Linked DNA regions of Oryzias latipes. The protein of the gene in region 1 binds, or shares a complex with, the protein of each later gene. Links are inferred from orthologs where the notes say so. Each region holds a gene or a part of one and is shown in the gene's direction. Other genes may lie near its edges.

Region 1 (8,100 bases):
CCTCAAAGCAACAGGTTTTGTTGTTGCTAAACTTATCCTCTACAGCCGCTGAGCAAACAGATGAGAGCTGAAGGCATCTCGTGCTGTTACAATAGGGGTAATGTACCTTCGGACAAGTGAGAAGTAGATGTGTATAAATCCCTTATATTATATTTATGTACATTTCTTTGTGGGCTGATCTGAAGAAAGCGCTAGAGTGGGATTGTAGAGATGGGGCTGCAAAAACTTTCACACACATGGATATCGACACATACACAATAAAAATACAAATCAACTCACATTGATTCGTATGAATAATTTTGCCTTATTGCAATGTGTGTTCTATCAAATGAGAAACAACAGAAGTGGTGGCTACAAGCAAAGCCTCTCTTCCCCACATATTTTCCCTAATCTTGTGGCAGCTGAGCATGTTGGTGTTGCAAGTGACTTATTGTCCCATTGTGTGCATTTCTGTAACATTTTGCTTCTGAAATCATAGGAAGTCAGACCTGTTATTCTGTTTGTGTCACTTTTAGTATTTAACAATTGTGAACATACTTTAGGTCTATGAGATTGTTAAATAAAAAACCCAATCAGGCAAACTGTAATGTTCTATGAATTCTTCTAGGTTTAGGATTGGGTGTTCACTACTACTTTACAGTTATGCAAAGATGTATTTCTCTTAGAGGTAAGGTAGAAAGAGAGGTTGTGCTGTGTATATACCTACTACATTATGCAAAGCATCTCTGTTGAACCCTTTTTGAATTCTATATTGCAAAGTTCAAATACTTTATTTAAAAAAAAAGTAAAACCTTGCAACAATACTGAGCCTATTGGCCCTCAGTTGCACAAATGCTGTCAAGTAAAATTTTTTTAAAGACTTCAGGAAAAAAAGGTTCTAGACCGAATCTTTTTGAAATAATCTAAAATCATAGTTTTTCACATTTGCTCTTGGCAAGCATAGCTGCCCTTGATTGAAAAAAACCATTTTAAATCCACCTTCATCTATTCAATTTAATTTTATTCATATGGCAAAATTTGAAATACAAGATCTAACGACACGACATGGTGAGACGACGTAGCTAACGACACTAGCAACGGTTGCTAAGGAGCCGTAGTGAGACGACAGGGAGGAACGACACTGTCAAAGACAAATGCAAAGGTTTAAACATAACCCATGAACAAATGTTCAGTAGACAGAGACAATGGACCAAAGACATAGACAGTGGTCACAAAAACATATATTTGGCACAAACAGAACCTCATATACTATAACATGTTTGGTATTTCTAGGAAAATGTATTTTTTACCATCTCTCTGTTTTGACAAAAGATCCTTTATAGTGTTATAACAGAATTTTTTTTTGTCTCTGGTTCATCTCTTAGACTTCTCTAGAAAGTGGATCCGTCCTTGTATTATTTCGGTTTCTCTTCATTTAAGGAATCCTAAAACGACGCCCTTTCCTTTCAAACATAGTGAAGTTATCAAACACATTGGGAAACACTGATAAGGTTGGGTTGGCATAATGTAAATTCTCATTAACCATTTGCACTGTAGTGGTTCATTTTGGTCTCAATGGACTATCTTTCAGAGATTCTGCTTCCTATTTATTACATCCTAATGGATATCTTAGCCTCCATGCTTCTAATTTGTCAGTATAGGACTCAATGTGTAACCACAAGGCTCTTTAGAACAGAAGATTGTCTTGCTCCATTTAGATCGAGAACTGAAAGATTTCCTGGATCCTGGATGAAGTGGTGACTCAAACATCAAACTTCTATGTTTTATCAAAAACATGTGTCCATGGCAATTGCTTAGAATGATTCCTTAGAATTTGATAGTCTATGTTTATGCTGTAATTGGTTTTTATCTAATAGGTACCATCTGCAGACTACAAGTTTTGATTTTCTGTTCACTTTTGATACGCGCAACCTGATTCTGCTAACGATTTTTCCAACTTTAAAGAAGTCAGTATTAAATATTGTAAAAAAAATAAAATTATAAATATTTGGCTAAATCAGTGATGTGACATTGTCCATTCCTGGTAGGTTCCATTCCATACATGTTAGTGTTTCTCCGCTCGATTTAATTTTGTATTACTGCTCAATTTCAGTCTCACTGATACATCCAGTTGGAGCAGTTTGATTTATTTCAGAGCTAGATTGGTTGGTTTACTGTAAAGTAAAATAGTTAAGATTTAGACTGACTCCTATTTTACCTCTTCAAATTCTCCTCAGATCTTATCTCAGAGTTTCCATTTGTAGCAACAATATCTTGCACTCTTAAATGTTGAGTAAATATGACCTTGTTTACTTCTGCGTCATGGAACATGAGATCCGGCAAAGCTCCTTCATTGTATTAATATATTACATCATGATACAGTTGTGTAGATTGACAAATATGTGTGTGGTGTTAGTCATACATCTTATCTTATGGCTGACCTATCACCATCACTCTCCTCTATCAGTTCTGGGGAGTGACTCATCTGCAGTCATGTGGTTCACTGGTCATGTGAGACATTGTTCCACCATGAAAGTGAGCAGGAAAAAAAGTGTCTGCTCGTGAGTCATGTCATTATCCTAGCTTTGCTTCTTAATATTAAACATTACCACCGCTCTGTATTGGAAAGCAGAGTAATTATCGGAAATAGACCAGCCTAGCTAACAATAAGCTTCCATTAATAAACTGGACTGTCAACAGCCATGGAAAAGAAATCAGAGCAGCAACTGGCTGTTACATGCGGAGTCATATAACCAGTGTCGTGTGACGGTAATGTCACAGTTATTATAGTTTTTATTTTAAAAGAAATATCCTTTAGCTCAGTGTTTAGCAGTTTGTTGGATCCCTGCTCAAAACAAGTAATTTAGCATTCTAGTTTATCACTTTGGAAGTCTCAGCATTAATGCTGTTGTGCAGCTTTAAATCTGTCTTACAATCCAAATGATCTATTTCTTCAACTTGAGCTTCAGTTTGATTCAGAATTATGTTGAAAGTCTTTCATTTTGATTTCCTGTAATTTCCTGTAATTCAATAGTAGAAGGTAAAAATATTTGTTGGAGGAAGGAGCAGCGAAACATTAGATGAACTGCAGTCACAGGAAGTGCAGTCCTGAGTGAGTGAGCCAAAGCAGATGTAACAGTTCACTAGACATTCAGCGTAAGTCTGCCTTCTTCAAGCTGGTTTTTCTTTCTTTTTAAAAGAGTAAACAAGATTGAATAAGATCGAGAGGGCAGACTTTCGATAATGGCATAATTACTTGTGTTTTACTGTAACTTTGTTTTCTGTTAGGGGGTCTGCTCTGGTTTTAAAATTGTTCATTTGGGTCAAGTATCCAAACAGAACCACTGGCCCCTTCTGACTTAAAGCTGAGATGAGCCTGGAGAGGAATGTAGGTTGTCACCAGAGCTATTTTGGCAATGTCCAGTCGCTAATGATTGTGATCACAGCGGAGTGCGCAGCAGTTGCTTTACTTGCTTCTTTTTCCTACCAGCAAGTGTGATCATGCTGCTCTTACAGGCGCTGCAGGGATTAGGGAGTTAAACAAATGGCGCGTCGGCTCCGCTTGCATTTCGCGTCAAGGAGAAGCAACACGGACCCCCTGTCACAAAGCCCGAGCAGCCACGATGAGGAGAGCGGAGTTGGTGCGTCTGTACGTAGTCCCACACAGAGTCTGGCGCACAGTTCTGTCCACTTGAAGGTGACTCCTCTGTCACCAGACTTTGCCAACAGTCAATACTCTTCAGTTTTCATACCGAGAGTTAACACTGGAGGGTGTAATACGAAGAGCGTTCTACAAATCTCACTGCAGCCCTGTGGACAGCTCAGTGGAGAGCAGGATGGCAGCATAGAGGATGGAGACCCTGGGGTTAATGAAGGCGGCGGAGGGTCGTGCCACAGCAGCATGGCAAGTGATGCTGGTTACTGCAGCAGCAACAGCATCTTTGAACCGGAGCCTCCAGAAAAGCACAAGACCAACCACGAGAGAACTCGACTCTCCTGGAGAACCAGAGTCCCACTGCGGAGGTGCTCGTCTTTGGTTATATTTCCAAAAAGCCCCTGCAGCACTCCACCTGCCTCCCCAGTGAGTTCAGGAGCTTTGCCACCTCTCCTGCCAGCAAGAGGATCTAGTCATTCAACTCCTCAGTCATCTACCAATACATTTTCACAAGACGACGAGGAAGTAAGTTACAAAGGGTCCACCACAGCTGCAGTCAGTTGCCAAAGTCAGCCAAGAGGAAACTGTTCAGCAGCTGAGGACTCGAAACACACGGTGCACTTTAATCTGCCTGTACAGGATAAACAGCAGTCCAAAGCTGAGAGCAGGAATGCAGGGGCAGAAGTTTCATCAGCTCCAGACAGGTCTAATCGTCACTCAAGTAGTTTGCTGCTGCATTTTACCCCCCACAGTCCACAGGGCTCGACAAAGGCAGCTCTCAGTAAGGATGCAAATGTGGAATATCCAGAGGCTCATCACCCTACTAATCGTGCTGAGCATGTACATGATGGGAAAAAAAAACTGTATCGCAGTACCTCTGCTTGTTTGTTTCCTTCTACAAAACCATCGCCCAAAAGGAAGCCTTGTTTAACGGGGAATGGCCAAGACTGGTCTGAGGATGGTCGCTGTCACCGTGCCGTGCAAAGGAGTTTTTCCCTCGAGGTGCCGTACCCTAACACCGAAATTTCATGTCACGTTTCAAAACCGAAGCTCAGCAGCTCTTATTCTCCCCATGTGCATATTCATTTGTCGCCCTGTTGCCCCACAAAGTTGCCCAACTCTACCAATGATGTAAACACAAGCCATAAATGGAATAATGAAACAAAGAGTTCAGGTCAGAGCACCAAGGTGAGTGCTATATTTAACGCTAACACCGACTAACAGCTGAATGCCTGAACTGGGATGTTGTGAAAACTAACATCTGTCAGAATTTTTTTTTAATGTAGATTATTGCCATATAGTTTTTCTGTGACATAAGTTCTGCTGAAAAAGTTGCTAAATAAGTCTAGCTTACAAAGATGTAATCTTACCCATCAGGATACTATTTAAAACGGGGTAATTGGTGCAAAATGCAAATGACAGGGTTTTATAAAATATGTAAATAACAAATAATTTAGAATTTTTGCTACCAGAAAAAAAATAGTTTCAATAAAATTTAAAGAACAATGCTACATATTAAGTACACATTTGTTTTTTCTAACTCTCCTTTTCATTTACTACCACTAAAGTGTTGCTTACAAGGGTTAGCCTTCAGGCTTTGTTCAAGACGTGCTGTAACTCCATAAGATCTTGAATACAAAGTCACGCAAAGAACAAGTACAGTGTGGACAAACACTTAGAGATATTGATTTACATTATATTTAATCCTTCCAAATGTGGATTTCCAAATAATGTGTGAATTGCAAAGACATGGTTCTTTACCATCTTGGGGGCATAACAATCCAATGTTGGGCAAACTCAACAGTTCCCTACTTTTATGATTCGGTTAGCACTATGAAGGATCAACTTAAGTATATCCCAAGGCTAATTTTAGTGGTGGGAAAAGTGCTGCCCCTTGCTGACTTAAATAAAGGGGCTCTGAAATATTCCCCCTGACTCCAGATAGTCTGGTGGACTGAAGCACTGCTTGGTCCTGTGGATTCAAATTTAACAGCATGATACTAGAGCAGCACACAGTCATGCCAGCCATCTGTGGACATGGCATGTGTGTGCGTGTTTCCCAGTACGTGTGCTGCCTGCACTGTTGTTCGTCTTCCAAGCAATGTTTGTTAAGTATTATGTGTCGGTCTCCCCACACTTTTGGCAGGTTGTAAGAAACTAAGGATTTCTGTCACATTTAGATGGTCTTTTCATTTTTAAAGATTTTAATGTTGCGCCCTCCTTTTAAATCATACTTTGTTCTAAATGCAGCAAGGACTACTAAAAGGTACTTGTAATGGTTATTCAGTCAAGTCTCACATCACACATGTGCAGTTAAAAACCTTTTTTTTTTACTCCTGTTCCACTTGCACTTCACCACCAAAGACATTTACTGCGTTATGTGTAAACTTGTCTCATACTGTAATAATGCTTGTATGTTGTTCCTAAATTTCATGCTTTTCCCCTCAAAATTTGTTAAATTTGTTGAAGTTTAAATACTTCCTCAGCTCATTTGCTGTGTTACTGCTCTATATTTATCAGAATGTTACTGTCACACATGTACTGTATAAAAATACATAAACTGGACACAAATATAGCCGCTTGCTTTGGTTTTTCAAGTTATTCTTTCATTAGTGGTGTCATGCCAGTCCAAAATGTCCAAATTACAGAATAACTAGGACTGCACTTGATCCGCACTTGATGAAGTGTGAGCCAGATGTTTCATGTGTGCTTTATTTGCAAGTATGATTGGTTTTTCATTTTATAATGCTTAAAGTACTAGGGTTTTACCTCACTGATAACTCTGCTGGTATTTAAATAAATGTACCGGTATACGAACCCAACAGAAAAAAGAGAACTATGGATTAAGTTTAGGGTGTTGTTAAATTGTGATGTTGGCTCTTTTGTTATGTTGTTTAGAATGTATGTCTAATGGTATAAATACCTGAAAAGACCATTCCATAAATTTTTTTTTCCACACACCCCTTATGACAAAAGAATCTTTGTAGCGACTTCAAAACCAAACAGTCGCTGAGAGGCGGACGCTGGGTCCGGGTATTGAATGACGGGCTCAGAAAACCAGAAAGCATAACGAAGTTTGTATTTTGAAGTTTTAATAATAAAAAAATGAAAGTAATTAAATCCACTTATTATATTATGATCAAGAAAGAAAAAAACAGAGAATCAAGAAAAAAGCACTAAAGCGTATGAAGCGATTAAAAAAAAATAATACGGCAACCCAGCTCACCCCCCCCCCCTTCCATCTTACACAGGGAAAAACCACAGGTGAGTTAAAGTTAATGTCACCACCCACAAACATGTGACCCACCAGCTGATTATCCTACTCAATGACCTATAATAAAAACAAATCTATATTTATTCAGCATAAGAAAGACCACACTTAATTCTTGGCACCTACAATCTTTGTGTTCATCTCTTAAAGACACCTTAACTTTGAAGTGTGGAAAATGTGACTTTCTTTTTGTGTCTCAATAAATATGTTGTGTTGATACTGTAAATTTTCCATGAGGAAAGCAAATGAATCATATTAGCCTTTAGACACCGTGTGGATAGATATGATGTTAACTGCAAATGGTTTCCATTTCAGGAAATGAGTTTGCTTTTTTGAACTTTTTCCATTTTGCTTTGGGTTCCTGGGTTCAAGATGAAGTGGGGATACTTTGCCCAAATGTTAAAGAAACACGATCAACACACTCCCCCATTTCCTTTACTATTAAACATTTTCAAACAGAAAATGTTCATTTGGATGGGCCTTGGGAAAGAAAGCATGACAAGCTGATGCTGCTGGATTCTTCAAGGGAGACTTCTTTCCTTTCTCTCTCTTATTTGTGTAGTTCCCTCTGGATGTGTTTGCACAGGTTTTTACCTGGGATTTGCAGAATACGTAGCATATTTTCTCTTCCATTGTCACTATATATTTAAATTTATAATTGGTATCATACTGACGGATAAAAGCTGTTTTGGAATATATAATAAGCACATTTTGGGAGGTAAAGCCATCGTGGCTCATTAAACTTTTGTATGTGATGATAAAGCTTGTATGACTTTTTTCTGCTTCCTTTTGATTTTTTCATGGGGGGGGGGGGCAGTGGCTCAGGTGGTTGAGCAGGTTGGCCAATGATCAATGGGACGGTGGTTCGATCCCTGCCTCCCCCAGTCAACTGTCGTTGGGTCCAGACGCCTCAATTTTTTCAAATACATTTCTCTGAAAATGTTAAACTACCAACATTACTAAGATAATATATTCTATATAATAGGATGGATCTCTTGACCATCATTGAAATCAAAGAATTAAGACTAAAGAAAAGTGCTGCCCCTTGCTGACTTAAATGAAGGGGCTCTGAAATATTCCCCCTGACTCCAGATAGTCTGGAGTAAGACTAAAGTAGTGCAGCTTTTCGAAAATGGTTCCTAATTTGGTATTCGCTGGTTGTCTGTAACTCAGATTACTCCCTTAAGTTTGTTTG
Region 2 (8,027 bases), on another chromosome or scaffold:
TGGAAATCTCCTCACCCAAAGCTTGTGTTTTCTACCAGAGGTCTTGAGGGTCCTGCACAGAATATATGCTGTTCCTGCACTTTTCTGGACTGCACGTCTACGGTTCTCCCAGTGATGTGCTGTAGCCACTCCTTGCATCGTCAATGTTGGCGCAACCAGACCATCCATTATAAACAACCTCTGAAATGACCAGAGCCACAAATTTGATTGACACTGCATTCGTAGCTCACATCTATTACTATAATAGTTTTGTTTGCCTAACCCATTTAAGCCTTAAAGTAAAGATGTTTGTAACTTTACCAAAACCTTATTCTGACTGATAAAGTGCTGCCCATTTGCAAACGGTGAGGGAAAAAAGTATTGGAACACCCTGTGATTTTGCAAGTTCTCCCACTTAGAAAATCATGGAGAGGTCTGACATTTTCATATTATGCGCATGTCTAAGGTGAGAGAAACATAATCTGAAATAAAAAAGGTGAAAATAGCATTGCATGTTTTGTTTTTTTATTTGTATGCTACTGCTAAATAGAACTATTTGAATGTGATTTCCAGGTTTTTTGTTTTTAGACTTTGTCTCTCACGGTGGACATGCACCTGGTATGAAAATGTCAAACCCCCTTCCTGATTTTTAAGTGGAAGAACTTGCAGACTCACCGGGTTTTGCCTCCCTATTTAAATGTTAGAGCAGGCATGTCCAAAGTGCGGTCCGTGGGCCAAATGAGGCATGCGTTCAAATATCAAACTGCTCACAGACTCCTGTCATAAAATCAATAATACACAGCACCTTCTAAGAACTGTGTGTACAATTTCTTGATTGTGATAGGCCAAATGACGCTATAGGCTGTTGTAAACCTGTGGCAACAACCTGGGGTTACTTACTTATCTTTAGAGCCTTAAGGCCGTTGTTTGTTTCTTTTCTCAACATAAGATAACTATTTGTTATTTTCCTGTTTACACAATTTGAATATAGAAGTTTACAGTCAGTGAGCATTTAATTATAAATATGAAACATTTCCTATGAACCCAGATTTTATGGTGACGAAAGGCTTTTTTTCCAGATAAAATTTTCCTTTATTTTGATATGTATTTACACCATTTTTTTGTTCAATTTAAAGAAATGAAAAGTCTCCTATTGCACAAAAACAACAACAACAAAAAAACATTAGTATTATTATTAAATCATTATATTGTATTTCTTTTGCTAACCACATTTTTTGGGGCTGACTCATGAATGATGGACACTGTGATGTCATCTACCAGCAGAAGGTACACAGACAGGTTTCCTACACTGGGAACTTTCTTTTGCATCTCATCCATCAAGCTGAACAAAGACTGTGTGATAATGAATGTCTGATGAAGGGTAATCCACACAGTATGTGTTTGTTTTATGCCACGGTGCCAGACTTAAAATGAATGCCTTGTTGTGTAGAGGCACCTCGGCTATGATGTGCACTTGCATATGTGTGACTCAGGGGCTATAAGTGTGTGGACACAGTAGGAGCCTCCATGTCCTAATCCAAGCACACACAAGCGACTCAGGATTGATGATTTTATGCACTTCAGTGTCCCATGGTGCTTTCCCATCAAAAAACCTGAAATATTACACGCTGGATAGCCAGGAGCTGAACTCTGGGTCAACCCTGTTCTCCCCGTGGCCAAAGACATAAATTAATCAGAAGGTACTCTTGGGTTTACTACAAGTCATTCTATTTGTGTTTAAATCTCTATACGCTTCAACAAAGGAGTTAGATAACATGCCCCTCTGATGTTCCTCTCAGTCTAGTAATAAACACTGTAATATCTTATGCAATAGGAAAACACTCAGAGGGATGAAAACATAACAGTTCGGAGATGGAACTCTGGCGCAATGAGTTTTGACCCCAGGTTGTGCAACTTTGTACCTCCCTGTGAATTCAGCTTTACTGCAGATTGTGCCTGTCAGAACAGGGTCTTCTTATAAGGGAAGTTGTGTTTGCTACCTAAGGCAACTCTGTCACAACACAAAACGAATGTGTCTTCAATGGAGACTCCTGGAAGTCCTTGTGTTTGGGAACTGTTGGTGACACGTATGTGAAATACAACAAATGATCAAGTCAGTCTGAGCTTTGTGAAAGACCCACTCGGATGATCTTTTGATTTATTTTAAATGTGATCCCAGTTGTCTTTTAATTATGATTGTTCTGTTTTTAGCCAAAAAAAAAAAAAAAAGTTGTTGTTTTTTGGACCTAGTTTCCGCAGAGCAGAAGTAGTTGTTTTGAAATTCACCTCTGAGTTGTGGATGGATTATTGGCATGGAAGAAGCCCGCCCCTATTTCCCGACATCCATCTGTTAACACGCGCTCCCACTAGCTTACTGCCCCTCACATCCCCAACCTAACAGTACAAATCCAACCACAACATCAAAATGTCAAGCATTTTGGAGACAAATACCAGCTCAAATGAGGAAAACAAAGGCGTACATGGATCTATTTGTCTGCCAGTGGATGCACCAGAACAGAGCGCAGCAGGGAACTACAATCTTTTTTCCAACCGCATTTTTTATTCCCCTGCTACTGATTCACAAGGATTTGAATAAAAAAATACTCAGAAATGCAACTTTAAGCCTAATTGTTTAAAAATATGTCCTCAAAAAAATGAGTAGAACACATTAAAAACACAATTTTTATAGGTTTGAGTCGCTAAGGAAAAGGTCATAATACCTGCCGTTATAAATAATGTATTTAGGCATCTGGCTCCAAAGCAAGTCAGAACTAAATGATGATCAATATGTTTTGGCCTTACAACTGTTCTGATTTTAAAGTTAAAACATTTCCATACCTTGACATCATTTTTTAAATCATTAAAAACCTCTTTTATCCTCTCAAGAAAATGTATACCTATTATTTTATCAGCTGTAGGGACTATTTTTCTTTCTTTCTTTTTCTTTTTTTTGGTTTATGGGTTTTGAAACAAATCATAAGAAGACAGATATTAAAAAGGTTCAGCAATCCTGTCAAGGAACAAAGATAAAGTTTGACTAATGAATTAAATGTTTCAAGCAGTCTGGGAGGAGCACAATCTGAATTACATATTATGTAATGTTTCCCCAACTATTAGGTAATTACATCTTTTTCAAAAATCAGTTTTGATGAGCAAAACTTAAAGAAAACAAATACAAATTGGTACTTAGACTGCAAAGAGAAGCCATGTAGTGGATTATTTTTATCATTAAACATAAGAAATATACAAAAAACGTGTAAATTAAGAAGCATTACAGCTTAGGTCACAACTTAATACACTTTAGATAGTGAAAAAAAAAAATTGAAGTTAAGGCTTTCTGAAAATAAGTTAAATGAAAATAGAAAGCATTAAAAAGTGAAAACTATCTGCCAACAAGTGTGATTTTGCACAATCCAACGATAATTTGTTTATCTGGCTCTTTAAAAAGAAAAAAGAGAAAGAAGAGGGAGAACCAGAGTAACCCTTTGGACCCGCCCTTTTTCTCACATCATGAGACAGTGGTGGGCGTGGCCTTTTTCAGAAAGGGGAGGGGTTGTTTGAGCGCGTTCAGGTTTGTCTGCGTGTACGTGCGTGTCCTCCTCCCTTGGCCGCATGACATGAGCTGCCCTACAGTCTTTGCTGCCACTGTTTTTGCCTCCTCCTCCTCCTCCTCCTCTCTTCTTCCTCCTCCTCCTCCTCTTCTTCCTCCTCTTGCCTCAGTCAGTCTGTCCAGCCTGGGAATGTTGACCGACGTGGCCTGATCCAGCGCCGGCCAGTGTCCTTCGTCTTCGGACAGTCAGTGTTTTTTGTCCGCCTGCCTGCCCCGAACGGCTCCGTTTCTAAACTAAAGGTGAGGCGCGTGTTGATTTTTTGCTTTACTGCTCCTCATGCATGTGATAGAATTCTCTCCATTCCTTCAGCATGTGTGTGTGTTTTGGTTGAGGATGGTTAGTCAGTGCGGTAAAAGTTCCCTGCGCCGCTGGGATGACACATGCTTGTTTCGGAACACATGTGCGCACTGTGCGTAAAACCGCGCAGTCAGACCTGCCTCCATCTCCAAAAGCGACAACTTTGAAAACAAGTTATTAACAAGGAGTCGATGCAATCGAGCTTTTTATTTTATTTTATTTTATTTTTTTTGCCCTCCATGTTTTCTTTCCAACGTGGACTTCTGCTTGCTTCCAAACTGGATTCTCGAGGCATGACCGTAAACTGCAGCGCATGTCATGCGTTTTTTCCACGCCTTTCTGAGGGAGCTGTGCTGCTCCGGTCGCCCTCTGGGGACGGTATTTTGATCCCACACTTGTTTCAACCCGGCTACTATTTTAACCCCCCTCCCTCCTCCTCCTCTGGTTTCAACACCAGCTCGGTTGTGTGGGAGTTCCAGTCTGGCCTTATCGCTTTATCCTAAGATTGGAGGAGGAGGATGATGATGATGAGGAGGAGGAGGAGGAGGAGGAGGCGTTTTCCCTGAGATACTCACGTAGACCTGCAGTGTGGTAAAGCTCCCACTCAGAGGATGTCTAGGAAAATTCCTGCAGTCGATACTGGGAAGGTAAAAACAAATAAAGAAGAAACTGTAAAGCAGTTTCTAGGTCCCTTAAGGGAGTTACAGAGGCTGTTTTGGAGGACTCCCCAAACCTTACTTGCCGAACATGAAAGTTTCTATATCCTTATTCATTTTCAGGAAGCTATGATCTGCTTATAGTTCTGTTTTGCCTGTAATCTACTTCACTTCGTCTCAGCCCTGCAGTAGACATGATCAAAGTGCATGACATTTCTGCAAAGCTAAAAAAAAAGAAGTTGCAGATGAAGTCGGTGACAACAGATCTCTACAAACCACGTCTTTCATGATAATCCTAATTTATTGACACAGTCTTGCAAAAAAATTAGCTTAAAGCTCCACTCCAACCATCTATTGATCTTTTGTTAAAAGCGTTCCCAGTGGTCATTTACTTATGATTATGCCGTTTACATCCAATATATTAAAAAAAACTTGTGTTTTTTTTCTTGGATTTAGTTTCTGCAGACTGACAGGAATTCATTAGAAATTCACCTCGAACTTGTGGGCGGTACTATTGGTACGGCGTAAGCCCGACCCTACTTCCCATCATCCATCTGTTTGCACTCTCTCTCTTGCTAGCTTGCAGCCTCTCAAACTGCCTAGATCAGTGTTTTTCAACCAGTGTGCCGCGGCACGTACACTAGTGTGCCCGTGGGAGAGGGTCAGATGTGCCGTGGGAAATTGCCCTCATTAACTGATCTAAAAACATTTACCATCTCCAGGATATCAGTTCTGTGTTCATCCAAACAGGCCCTGATAAAACACTGAGGAGTTAGGAATATGAAAGATCGTAAAATACTTGATTCTATTAAAGACATTTTGATAAGAATGACAGTACCGAGATTTAGCCGCAGCTTCAGCTGTTTTCGGAGAAGTCCCGCCCCTTTAACTGTCTCCACCAATCATTCTTGGAGTCTTAATCACACGTCATCAGTCTGACCAATCAGAAGTGGTTAAAGTCTTCACTTCCTTGTTCTGATTTAGCTCATAAAGTCTCTCAGTTCCAACAAAAATACCAGCTAAAGCTCGTCTTTAGCGGTGTAGCTTGCCACAAAACCCAGAGTCAGACCGTGGAACGAGTGAACAAAACAATGAAGCTCAGAGACGCTAGTCTTTCTGCGTTTGGCGTCTGTTTGCACTACATCTCCCATGATGCATTGGGTTAAAGTGACAGCATCTCAGCGCACAATGAGTCTTTCCTTTTTAAACGTCTTGAAACCACATTGAACACACATCAGACAGTTTTTAAATCTTTTAACTTAACTTTTATTACATATTTTAGAAAACACAGCTGGAACTTCCAGCTTTTTCTGCCACAATTATCACAAAAATGCATGTGAGATTGCAGAGGAGCTGTAGATCAATACAGACTATGAGTTTCTCCTTTTTTTTTGTAATTTTTGGATGCTGGCGTGCTGCGGGATTTTTGTCAAGGTTAAAGTTTGGCGTAGCTCAAAAAAGGTTGAAAAACACTGGTTGTAGCAAACATTAGCGGTGCAACAAAAATAGCGAGCATTATTGGAGCTATCTGATATTGGAGCAGGGAGATCTTTTTGAAACCGCATTTTTTTTCGTCTGATTCACAACGATTTGAATAACGCAAAAAATCAGAAATGCAATTTTTAACTAAATTTTCTTTATCTACGTCCTCCATCATCAGAAAAATGCCACAAGAACATGTTAGAAACGCTAAAAACCCATTTGTAATTGGAGTGGGTCTTTCACGCTCAGCAGTAGACTGGAGAATGCTGCATAAACATTTATGGTTCCTGGTAGTATTGATGCAGTCAGGTTGACTGTAAATCAATGTTCTTACTTGGAATTTGCGAGATTTGAAAGAGGGTTTGAAGCAGCCTTAATTTGAATTTGTGAGAAAAATTCCAAATAGGCTCTTGTTAGTTTGAAATTTCAATAAAAAACAATTGACATCTTCTTGCAGAGTTCTCTCTCAGAGATGTAGGCATTAAAAACAGATGAATGTACTTGCAGTGGCTTTATAGGGACATTTGTTTATTGTTGCCTTTAATACATGCAGCACACTTTTTCAAATGTAGTTTTGATTTGATTGGGATTAGGTCTGCACAACAAATTCATTGTTGCAATATTGGGCCGTGCGATTTGCATGACGCAACAGACAGCACAAACTGCAGTAAATGATTACCTTAAATATTTACGCACATGCAATACACTCTCATGGGAGCTTAAAGTATCAAGGAGAGCCCTTTACGCATTTGACCAAGCGGATGGAGCCCTTTTTTTGTTAGATGCCCCCCTCCTATAAATTAATAGATGTGAGACATTTAAAGTTGACCTTATATTCAAATCTTGCTGTGAAATGAAAATGTTGTTTTAGTTGTTTATTCATTTGTTTTGCTATTTGTTCATATCGTCGATCACCAAAATTGAACATCGCACGTTTTCCTCACGTCCTGCAGCCCTAATTGTGATTATTTAATGTGAATGCAAGTTTTGAAGAGCAAACGCTTGTTTTTCTGGGACTACTAGTGTGTTGTTGTGTCCCTTTGGTCATGGTGGATCATTGTCCACAACATACTTGGCACTGCTGTTAGATTAACCAAACAATACCCCGAATTGACACTCTGTGGTTGCGTATTGAGTTTGTCATAGGACCGTCAGTTGGTTTACATTGCCTCCCCCCTCCCTCTGGCTCCTGGAGGAGTGGTTTGTCCTGCCAAATCTGTGCAGAGTAGTTCCTTCCGCTCTGTTCGTTCGTCAGAACCTAAGCAATCAGACCCCATGCCCGCTCCTTCCTCACTACCTCCCTTTAAAATGCATGTATTGTGTCATTGTGTTTCCGGGGGAACGGACTGGAGATAGAACTCCTGCGTAAAGCTGGCGTTGCGTTGCAGAGTGTTGGACCTGAGACGCAGACGTGACGGAGAGGATGTAAACATTCCAATTCATTTAAAAAAGTTTCTATATTTTTTGCATCGTTGCAATGCAACAGAGACACACCACAGTTTGACCAGAGTATATCAGCCTCTATTATTAGTCGTGACATCGTTGTGTAGTCACATCTAGTGCCATAATTTCAGTTTGCAACCAACTCTTGTTGGTTTGCAATGTTGCCCCATTCACCCATCCCCCACACCATACATTGAATTTACATGCACACTTTGGCCAAATTTGGTGGATTTTGTGGACTTATTCTTAATAGTTAAATACAAGTTTAAGCATAAGTGAAAACACATTAATGATGTTTTCCTTTAAAGGTGATTTTAAAAAAAAATTCCTCCCACTATTTATTTGTATTTTGGTCACACCGCAGTGCACATGGCAACTAACTGAGCTTCCCCGCCTACCCCCCACTGCCCAGACAACTTGCTATTTCAAGTCTATGCTAAATAAGCACAGGCATGATGGGGCACGAGCCTGTCAAGATTACAATCTGTCAGACTGCGTTTATTGCACGATATTTTGCAAAAGTACTATTTTTGACAGACTTTTGACTCATTTACTGTGC
Region 3 (8,171 bases), on another chromosome or scaffold:
AAAATCCACTGGCGTTGAGTGTTACATCTCCCGCCCCACAGAGAAGACCTTCTTCATCTTCTTCATGTTTGGAGTTACGGGCCTCTCCGTGCTCCTCAACATCATTGAGATCATCTACTTGCTGTGCAGCAGGAGGAGAAAAGCCACAAAACGGACTCTGAGGCAGCAGTATGCTCTCAGCTCACAGCAGTACTCAGCCAACCCTGCTTGGAAGTCTGCGGGTGGGCTATACGTTGGGTTACCAGGACCAACTCCCCACGTTCTGTCAGGCATGGATGACACAGGAGAGGACTCAAGCAGCAAGGAGAAGAAGAGCTGATGATTGTTGTGGATCAAGCGCAGACAGTAGACAGCTCCAATTTTGCTAACCCTTTTTGTTGCACTGCTACTGTTAAGTTAGGGGTGGGAGGGGCTGTAAGCTAGAGGGAGAGCATGTAAACAGAGAGCTCTCAGTAATTGGGAGGGGAATTTGGGCCAGGTTTACTCTGCGCCCATAACTCAGAGAAAAATTTCTGATGAACTCCTGCCGCTGCAGAAACTATGTTTTAGAAAATGATAAGTTTTTCTATTTTGGCTAAAAACAGCATGATCATCATTAAAGACCACTGGGAACGCTTTTACAATAGGAACACTGACTGAATGTCAATTTCACTGCTGTCTATCAAAGGCTTTTGCAAATAAAGAAAATGAGAAAATCAAGTCTCTGTGATGTAAGTTGAAAGCTAAAAACTTTAAATCTAAGTATGCTTTTTTAAAACATTCTAGTCAAATTATTTGATTTCAAAATATAAATAATTAGAAAACCTTTTTTTTGTTTTTCATTTATTGACAAATTTCAATTATTGACAAAAAACAAATGATTTTATTTTAACAAAAAGTTGGTCAATGTGTTAAATCAAATAAAACAGGTTATATTAAAAAGAAATTTGATACATTCACATAATTATATTGGGGGTTTGCATGGACCAATACAATACAATTAACATAATGTGTAGGAGCCCTATTGAGAAAAATGTCCTGTGGGTGTCGCTGTTTTCATGTTTTGCTGTCAATTATAAATTGGTTGATGATCTGACCACACACAGGTGTACATGAGCCAGATGGAGAAATGGTTTTTGACCGCTTGTGCGGGAAATGAAGCAAAAGAGTAGTCCAATCCGTTCAGTAGTGTAAATTAATAAAAGAAACAAAGTAATGCAAAGTTGATCGGAGTAAAAGACTCATTTCTTTTCGTCGTATAAGGAAACGACAGCCCGCTTGGCGTCAATCAACTCTGGCGTCGCACATCTCAGTGTATCAAAGGAGCTAGAACTTAGTTAAATAGTTTCTAGGCCTTTAGCTCCTACATAATGCATTAATGAACTTAGGTGAAGGCACAAAATATGATAAAACACACTTTGACCCAATTCACCTCGACTATAAAGAAATAAAGATCAGAACTTCTGACCACAACAGGAAATCTTTCTGAAAGCAAATATGTGCCAAAACTTAAACACGTGTTTTGGCACATATCTGCCTCAGTAAAAGAAGCGCATTTTGGGTACGAATGAATTTAGCAAAAAAATGTCATTAGTTAACTCTTTTTAGCATTTGTTCAAATTCTCTTCTCCAATATTTATCTGCTTTTGAGGTTCTAGATTATAAATGGAGTCGAGAACAGAGATTACATTTTGTCTTTTACTGCCTTGTCCTGAAGCTGACAACCTGGTCTTCAGAGAAAAATCTTACTCTAAACACAAGGAAAACCATGGAGATCATCCTCGACTTCAGGAAGCATGGCGCTTACCCAGCCCCCCTCCATATCAATGTGGAGAGGGTCCACACCTTCAGGTTCGTCTGGATCATTATCTCTGTTGACCTCTCCTGGACAGCCAACATCACAGCAATCATCAAAAAGGCTCAGCAGTGTCTACACTTCCTGACCTTCTACCACTCATCCATCAAGAGCCTCCTCACATACTGCATAACATTACGGCAGCTGCCATTGCAGACAAGGAGAGGCTGCAGAGAGTCGTAGAGACAGCTCAGAAGACAAATGGGACACCTTCTCCCTGACTGACATCTACTCCACACGCTGCCTCAGCAGGGCTCAAAACATCATCAAGGAAACACCCTGGCTCAGACTTGTTCAACCTGTTGCCCTCTGGGAGGCGCTACAGAGGCATCCAATTTAAAATAAACAGACTCAAAAATAGCTTCTTTCCCAAGGCAAAAACCATACTCAAATCCAAAACACCCAGATAAAATTTGCCACAGCACTTGCCAGTGTATATGTCTATGTATGTGTATATGTACATGTGCTTATTTAGGTGAACTGGTCAACACTTCCCCCCCCTCCATGCTGTTTTAGCACATCTGACATGTTTATATCTGTACATATCACTCTGCACATTATTATAAAGAAAATAATAATTAAATTACAATGTAATTATATTAAATATATAAATATACATATAGTTATATTACATTGTTTATACTGACATGTTTTATATTATACTTTGTTAGATTTGCTTTTGCACTAAAATGGAGACTACTCCAGTTTCATTGTCCAGGTGGACAGTGACAAGAAAAGCTTTCTATTCTATTCTATTGGTGGATAAACTTTAACAATTGATTGTTTTTAATCACTTCCACCACTAGGTGGCGCTATTGACTGCTACTCAGTTAACTGTGATTTCTCAGAGGGACCATTCAGTGTTGGTAAATGTCACCACACCGATCACATGATCAGGAACCTTTTATCAGACAGTTCTGTTCTCCAGGACCTGCAAGGTTTATCTGGAAGACCTTTTGCTGCTCATTTTAGTAGTTTCTTTAGTTTTTTTTTTTTTAAAGAAAAACAATGAAACCATATAAAAATGAAATAGATCATGATTAAGGAAATTAAAATCAGTTCCAATAGTTCAAGATTAGGTAGATAGATAGATAGATAGATAGATAGATAGATAGATAGATAGATAGATAGATAGATAGATAGATAGATAGATAGATAGATAGATAGATAGATAGATAGATAGATAGATAGATAGATAGATAGATAGATAGATAGATAGATAGATAGATAGATAGATAGATAGAGGGAGAGAGAGATTACATATTTTTCAAGTTCTTTAATTGTTAGCAATTTGTTAGCAACCTCCCTTTTTAAATTAATGGGAAAAAGTTATATTTATTTTAAATATCTTCATAAATCTCCTGATTTGATTCATTCTCAAAAAGAGTTAAATAAATAATGCTTTCTTTTGGTTTAGATCTAGTCAATGAGCCCAAATGTAGGAATTATTTCTTTCTATCAACTTCTGCAATAGTGACTTTCTGTTAAACAATGAGGAAACTGAGATGATTATAGCCCACAGTTTAATAGTTTATATTATTAGTTATTCTTTATAATGGATGGCACAACATTTTTTTACCCACATATTTGCTACAGTATATCACAACTCCAGTTATGTTGGCCTAAGTTTTTAAATGTTAAAAATAACAGGATCAGTGTGGTTTTGGACCTGTCAGCTTTGTCTTCCTGCATTTTTTTCTTCTTACAAATAGTTTAAATCTAAAGTTTATACGTTCGATCACTGCAGAAATTATATTAATGTTTAAATAATACTGGAAAAAAGAGAAAAATAAAAAAAACGTAACTGTGTTTTGATTTGGTCCCTGAAAAGACTAACTCCGGCCCTGGCCCTTCCAACCTTCTAGGTGAGCGGCTGCGCGTACAACCCCGCGCGCGCGCGCGCACTCTCGCGCCTCCCCCCACAGGCTCTTGACGTGGATGTGGTCACGTGACTGGACCTCCTCTTATAGAGTAACTTTGACAGTTTGGTTCAGTTCGGCTGCGGGGCCGGTGCGCGAGTCCAACCCCTCCCCACAGGACTGAGACACGGCGGACACGGTCTCTCCGAACGTCCAGGTGAGTTCTACTACAGTCCTGACCAGAACCAGGCAACTCTTCTTTCTTTCTTAATGCAACATCTTCACCAGTCTTCTTGTTGAGGACCAGATAGATGGAGGACACTTTCTCCTCTCAGTGTGCGCTCAGGTGAGCGGTTCTGGACGGGTTTCTCCGTGGTTCCCTCTGAAGTGGATGTGGGTTGTGTGGTGGAGAGGAGCCTTGGGCTCCTCCAGAGGACCTTGTCAAAGCTCTGTAGCGCTTTGTGCTGCTTTCTCTGAACTCATTCATGCAGAAAGTGGCGGGACATTGTGTCTCCTAACAGTCAGCAACTGTTCTTCTCCTCCCGGACTCCTCAGGAGTTGGACCCTGCAGAGCTTCCAGATAAGTGAGAGCACATGCAGAGAATTGAACCAGCCTGCAGCTTCCTGCTCATCCACAAAGGTCTTTCTTGTGAGGCCCACTCTGAGAATCTTTTTATGTGTCACATGCACCAGCATTTAATGTCCTGTTGGGTTGTTTTTTTTGACCTGATGTTTCCATGAGGTCAGTAAAGTCTGCAGATCCTCTTTTTTCATGATTTACAGCTGGGGTTTTACATGATGCACCTCCAGTGCTTCTGTCTGACAGTCAGAGTATCTGAAAGCCTTTCAAGGACCTGTTGTTGTATCAGTCACATGAAAAAACAACATTCTGCCTCCTGTTTCTGCATCTGTATTGCAGCAGGATTTCTCCTGGGCTCTTGATGCCCCGACTGAACCCCGTCACAGCACAGAGGCTCGGGCGGCGCTCAACCAAGCCTCCTTGTGTTAGCTGTCGGCATCTTTTTTGGTCTTTCTGTCTTTCCTCTGGGGCCACATTCTGGCTCTTGACGCTTACATTCTTTTCCAGTTTTTTTTTTATTAAGGTAATTTTGTAACAGAAGTGGTTTGATGCATATTTGCACCCAAATGCGCAAAGGGATTAATGCACATTAAGCGCCAAAACTTTTACAGGATGAAGACCTGAAGACCTTTAGGGACCCAGTCAGCTGGAACCAACCAGAACCTTCAGTGTTAGAGTTATTTTTTGATTTGTGGCTCCACCATTGAAAGTTCTGATCAGTTTTAAAACCCAACTGTCTGAATTTATAAGTTTTGTCGCCTTCATTTCTGCTAAAAGTGTCTAATAGAAAACAAGATGATGAGAGTAGTTCCACAGCGCTTTGATTCAGCAGAATCTGAATGTGTTTTCCATTTTAATTCCTTTTTTCCAAGCCAGTCTGGATTTAAAGTGAAGCTCTTAAGGAAAAGAACAAAAACGTGCTCTTTGTCCCCTGCTCCACTAATTGGATTAGCTTGTTGCGTCATTAAGCATTTCGTTTGGTCCCCTTAAGTTCTCCTTAATTACATAATCCTTCAAAAAAACAAACAAAAAACTAAAGTTCTTTCAATTGAATTAATTGTTTCCATCAAACATATTAATGTTTCTCAAAAAAGAAAACCTAATTTTAGAGGATCTCCACATCCGATTTATGATTGTAAATTAGCAAAACCCAACTAAAATTAAGAAAACGGATTATAATGCAACACTATTTTATGCAAAAACTAGAAGTTGGAACAAACTGAGAGAACAGTGAGTGGAAAAGTGAATTGAAGCCACAAATTTTCCGTCCAAAGTAATAACTCTCAGTTATGTTTCCTGTAAGATCTTATCACTCTCCTTTGCTTTTATCCAACGTCTGGCTGCAACTCAGCCAACACTGAAAGTTTGTTTGACTTCACGACATTGTCAGTTCAACTTCTCTCTTTTCTTCTTCCACCAGCTAACACTCCCCAACGATGGGTGATTGGAGTGCTCTGGGTCGTCTGCTGGACAAAGTCCAGGCCTATTCTACTGCGGGTGGGAAGGTCTGGCTGTCCGTGCTCTTCATCTTTAGGATCCTGGTTCTGGGTACCGCAGTGGAGTCGGCCTGGGGTGACGAGCAGTCGGCTTTTAAGTGTAACACCCAGCAGCCTGGTTGTGAAAACGTCTGCTACGACAAATCGTTCCCCATCTCCCATGTTCGCTTCTGGGTGCTGCAGATCATCTTTGTATCAACGCCCACGCTGCTCTACCTGGCTCACGTTTTCTATCTGCACAGGAAGGAACAGAAACTCAACAGAAAGGAGGAGGAGCTTAAAGCCGTTCAGAATGATGGGGGTGATGTTGACATCCCGCTTAGGCAAATTGAGTTAAAAAAAATGAAGTACGGCATTGAGGAGCACGGAAAAGTGAAGATGAAGGGAGGCCTCCTCAGAACTTACATTGTGAGCATCTTCTTCAAGTCTCTGTTTGAGGTGGGCTTCCTGTTGATCCAGTGGTACATCTACGGCTTCAGTCTGAACGCCGTCTACACTTGCGAGAGGGACCCGTGTCCTCACAGGGTGGACTGTTTCCTGTCGCGGCCCACAGAGAAGACCGTCTTCATCATCTTCATGCTGGTGGTCTCTCTGGTCTCTCTGATGCTCAACGTCATCGAGCTTTTCTACGTCTTATTCAAGAGGATCAAAGACCGCGTAAAGGGAAAGCAGCAGCAGCAGCAGGCCGGGCTTTTCCCCGGGGGAGGAGGAACTTTGAGCCCCACCCCCAAAGAGCTGTCCACCACAAAGTACGCTTACTACAACGGCTGTTCATCCCCAACCGCCCCCATCTCACCCATGTCCCCTCCAGGCTACAAGCTCGCCACAGGGGAGCGTGGAACCGGCTCCTGCCGGAATTACAATAAGCAAGCCAATGAGCAGAACTGGGCCAACTACTCTACGGAGCAGAACCGGCTGGGTCAAACTGGTGCGGGAAGTACCATTTCAAACTCCCACGCACAAGCCTTTGACTTTCCTGATGACACCCATGAGCACAAGAAACTCACATCATCAGCGGGACACGAACTGCAGCCCCTGGCGCTGATGGACCCCAGGCCGTGCAGCCGGGCTAGCAGCAGGATGAGCAGCAGAGCCCGACCCGATGACCTGGATGTCTAACGGGCCCTGGCGACCTTACCGTTCTGCCTGGCCGACAGGATGTGAGGCTGCAGGCGGACAATCAGGCAACACTTGATCAGAAAGGGTCATGAAGAAGGTGGGACTAACCTCAATCACTGTCCTCACGATAGAGACTGTGTGTCAGTCAGAGACATTAAAGCTTCAGTGTAACACTTTCAAAAGGTACAACTCGCAACTATTTTGTCTGTACTGTAACTTTGTAGTTCCATTAGTCCAGCTTTAAAAAACACAGCAGCCATAGGGCTGGTTCAGAACACGGAAAGCCGGTTCATCCTTTACCCATAAGTTTTCAAAATCTTTAGACCACCGCCGTGGAGCTACAGCCGGCGAGGGGCAACAGAGAAGGAACAACAAACAAGGTGGAGGGCATACAAGAGGCAGGGCCATCTGCTCGGATTTAGGAACCTGAGCAGAGCCGCCTCCTATTGACACACGTCTCTTTGGTATTTGTAGCCTGCACTATTTAGTGAAAACACTGTACTTGGTGGGCGGTGCATCAGACAGCTTTTGTTAACCAGAGAAACACATTGATAAGTCTTGTAGAGTAGGACCCCCCTCTGTCACAGAATTGATTTTAAAACTCAGCCCTGATGGAGTTGGTCCTCAAATGCTCTGAGATCTTTGAAACCAGCCTCGTTCAACACTCTAGGTTTTGGTTTGTCAGGGTTTGTTCGTATTCTGGCCCCCTTGATGACTTTGCTGCCTTCTTAACCTTTAACTCCAAACTAACCTGCCGACTAACGGGGGTTTATCTAGTTCTTAGTAAAGCTTATAGTGTTTATTGTTTGAACATGCAGTAGACCCACAAACAAGCCCTGAACAACCAGGACCTGTGGTGATATTCCAGGGTTGTACGTCCAGATAATGGATTCTGATCCTTTACTGGTTCTACCGTTGCTACAGACAGAAGTCACCATTTAGTCCTCTCTAGGACCTGATTGTAAACAACTTTTTGAAACGTTCTGAGCAGCGGTTTCCCTAACCAACCATGACCTTCAGGGAGGCACAAACCTTTGGTTGCAGTAGAAAACTGCAGTTTCAATGAACAGGTGCCAAATATAGTTGGGATACAGGACTGTAGTCCATGCGATACCCCTCTTGAGTTCTAACTGAGAATTTTGTCAAAAAAACTGGAGTCGTGGTTTGGTGAAGTTTTTCTATGCTCTTCGTTGAGTACTTGTCTTAAACAGGTCTTCATCTCATGTGGAAGATCAGGATTATTGCCCTGAATCTGCCATATAAAAAAAACAATCGTCTTCCAC

The links.
Region 2: the proteins of nedd4 (region 1) and grb10 are in contact, whole or in part, in a crystal structure (PDB 3M7F), measured with the Mus musculus proteins. The link is inferred for Oryzias latipes from reciprocal best matches to the Homo sapiens genes NEDD4 and GRB10. Residues at the interface, in NP_035020.2 of Mus musculus: Glu71, Leu72, Val79, Arg104, Ser112, Ile114, Leu115, Thr116, Ser117, Val118, Gln119, Glu134, Ile135, Leu136, Phe137, Arg138, Leu242, Pro243, His244, Pro245, Pro246; in NP_001357532.1 of Mus musculus: Ile514, Arg516, Gln518, His519, Phe521, His522, Gly523, Arg524, Asp548, Gln579, Phe581, Gly587, Asn588, Thr589, Lys590, Phe591, Ser592, Ile595, Gln596, Asp599, Phe600, Leu603, Asn604, Ile617, Arg618, Val619, Ala620.
Region 3: the proteins of nedd4 (region 1) and gap junction alpha-1 protein are in contact, whole or in part, in an NMR structure (PDB 2N8T), measured with the Rattus norvegicus proteins. The link is inferred for Oryzias latipes from reciprocal best matches to the Homo sapiens genes NEDD4 and GJA1. Residues at the interface, in NP_037118.1 of Rattus norvegicus: Asp416, Asp417, Tyr422, Val424, Asp425, His426, Ser428, Lys429, Thr430, Thr431, Thr432, Trp433; in NP_036699.1 of Rattus norvegicus: Pro277, Leu278, Ser279, Pro280, Met281, Ser282, Pro283, Pro284, Gly285, Tyr286.

What each region holds. Positions count from the first base shown.
Region 1 is NC_019861.2:21,565,411-21,573,510, forward strand, and holds the start of nedd4 (E3 ubiquitin-protein ligase NEDD4), read left to right. Parts: upstream 1-2,941; 5' UTR 2,942-3,523; coding exon 3,524-4,822; intron 4,823-8,100. UniProt on the Homo sapiens protein: E3 ubiquitin-protein ligase which accepts ubiquitin from an E2 ubiquitin-conjugating enzyme in the form of a thioester and then directly transfers the ubiquitin to targeted substrates. Specifically ubiquitinates 'Lys-63' in target proteins.
Region 2 is NC_019874.2:13,043,071-13,051,097, forward strand, and holds the start of grb10 (growth factor receptor-bound protein 10), read left to right. Parts: upstream 1-3,359; 5' UTR 3,360-3,829; intron 3,830-8,027.
Region 3 is NC_019882.2:10,598,921-10,607,091, forward strand, and holds the start of gap junction alpha-1 protein, read left to right. Parts: upstream 1-3,787; 5' UTR 3,788-3,910; intron 3,911-5,693; 5' UTR 5,694-5,709; coding exon 5,710-6,888; 3' UTR 6,889-8,171. Other genes in the region: gap junction Cx32.2 protein, read left to right, coding at 1-319. UniProt on the Homo sapiens protein: Gap junction protein that acts as a regulator of bladder capacity. A gap junction consists of a cluster of closely packed pairs of transmembrane channels, the connexons, through which materials of low MW diffuse from one cell to a neighboring cell.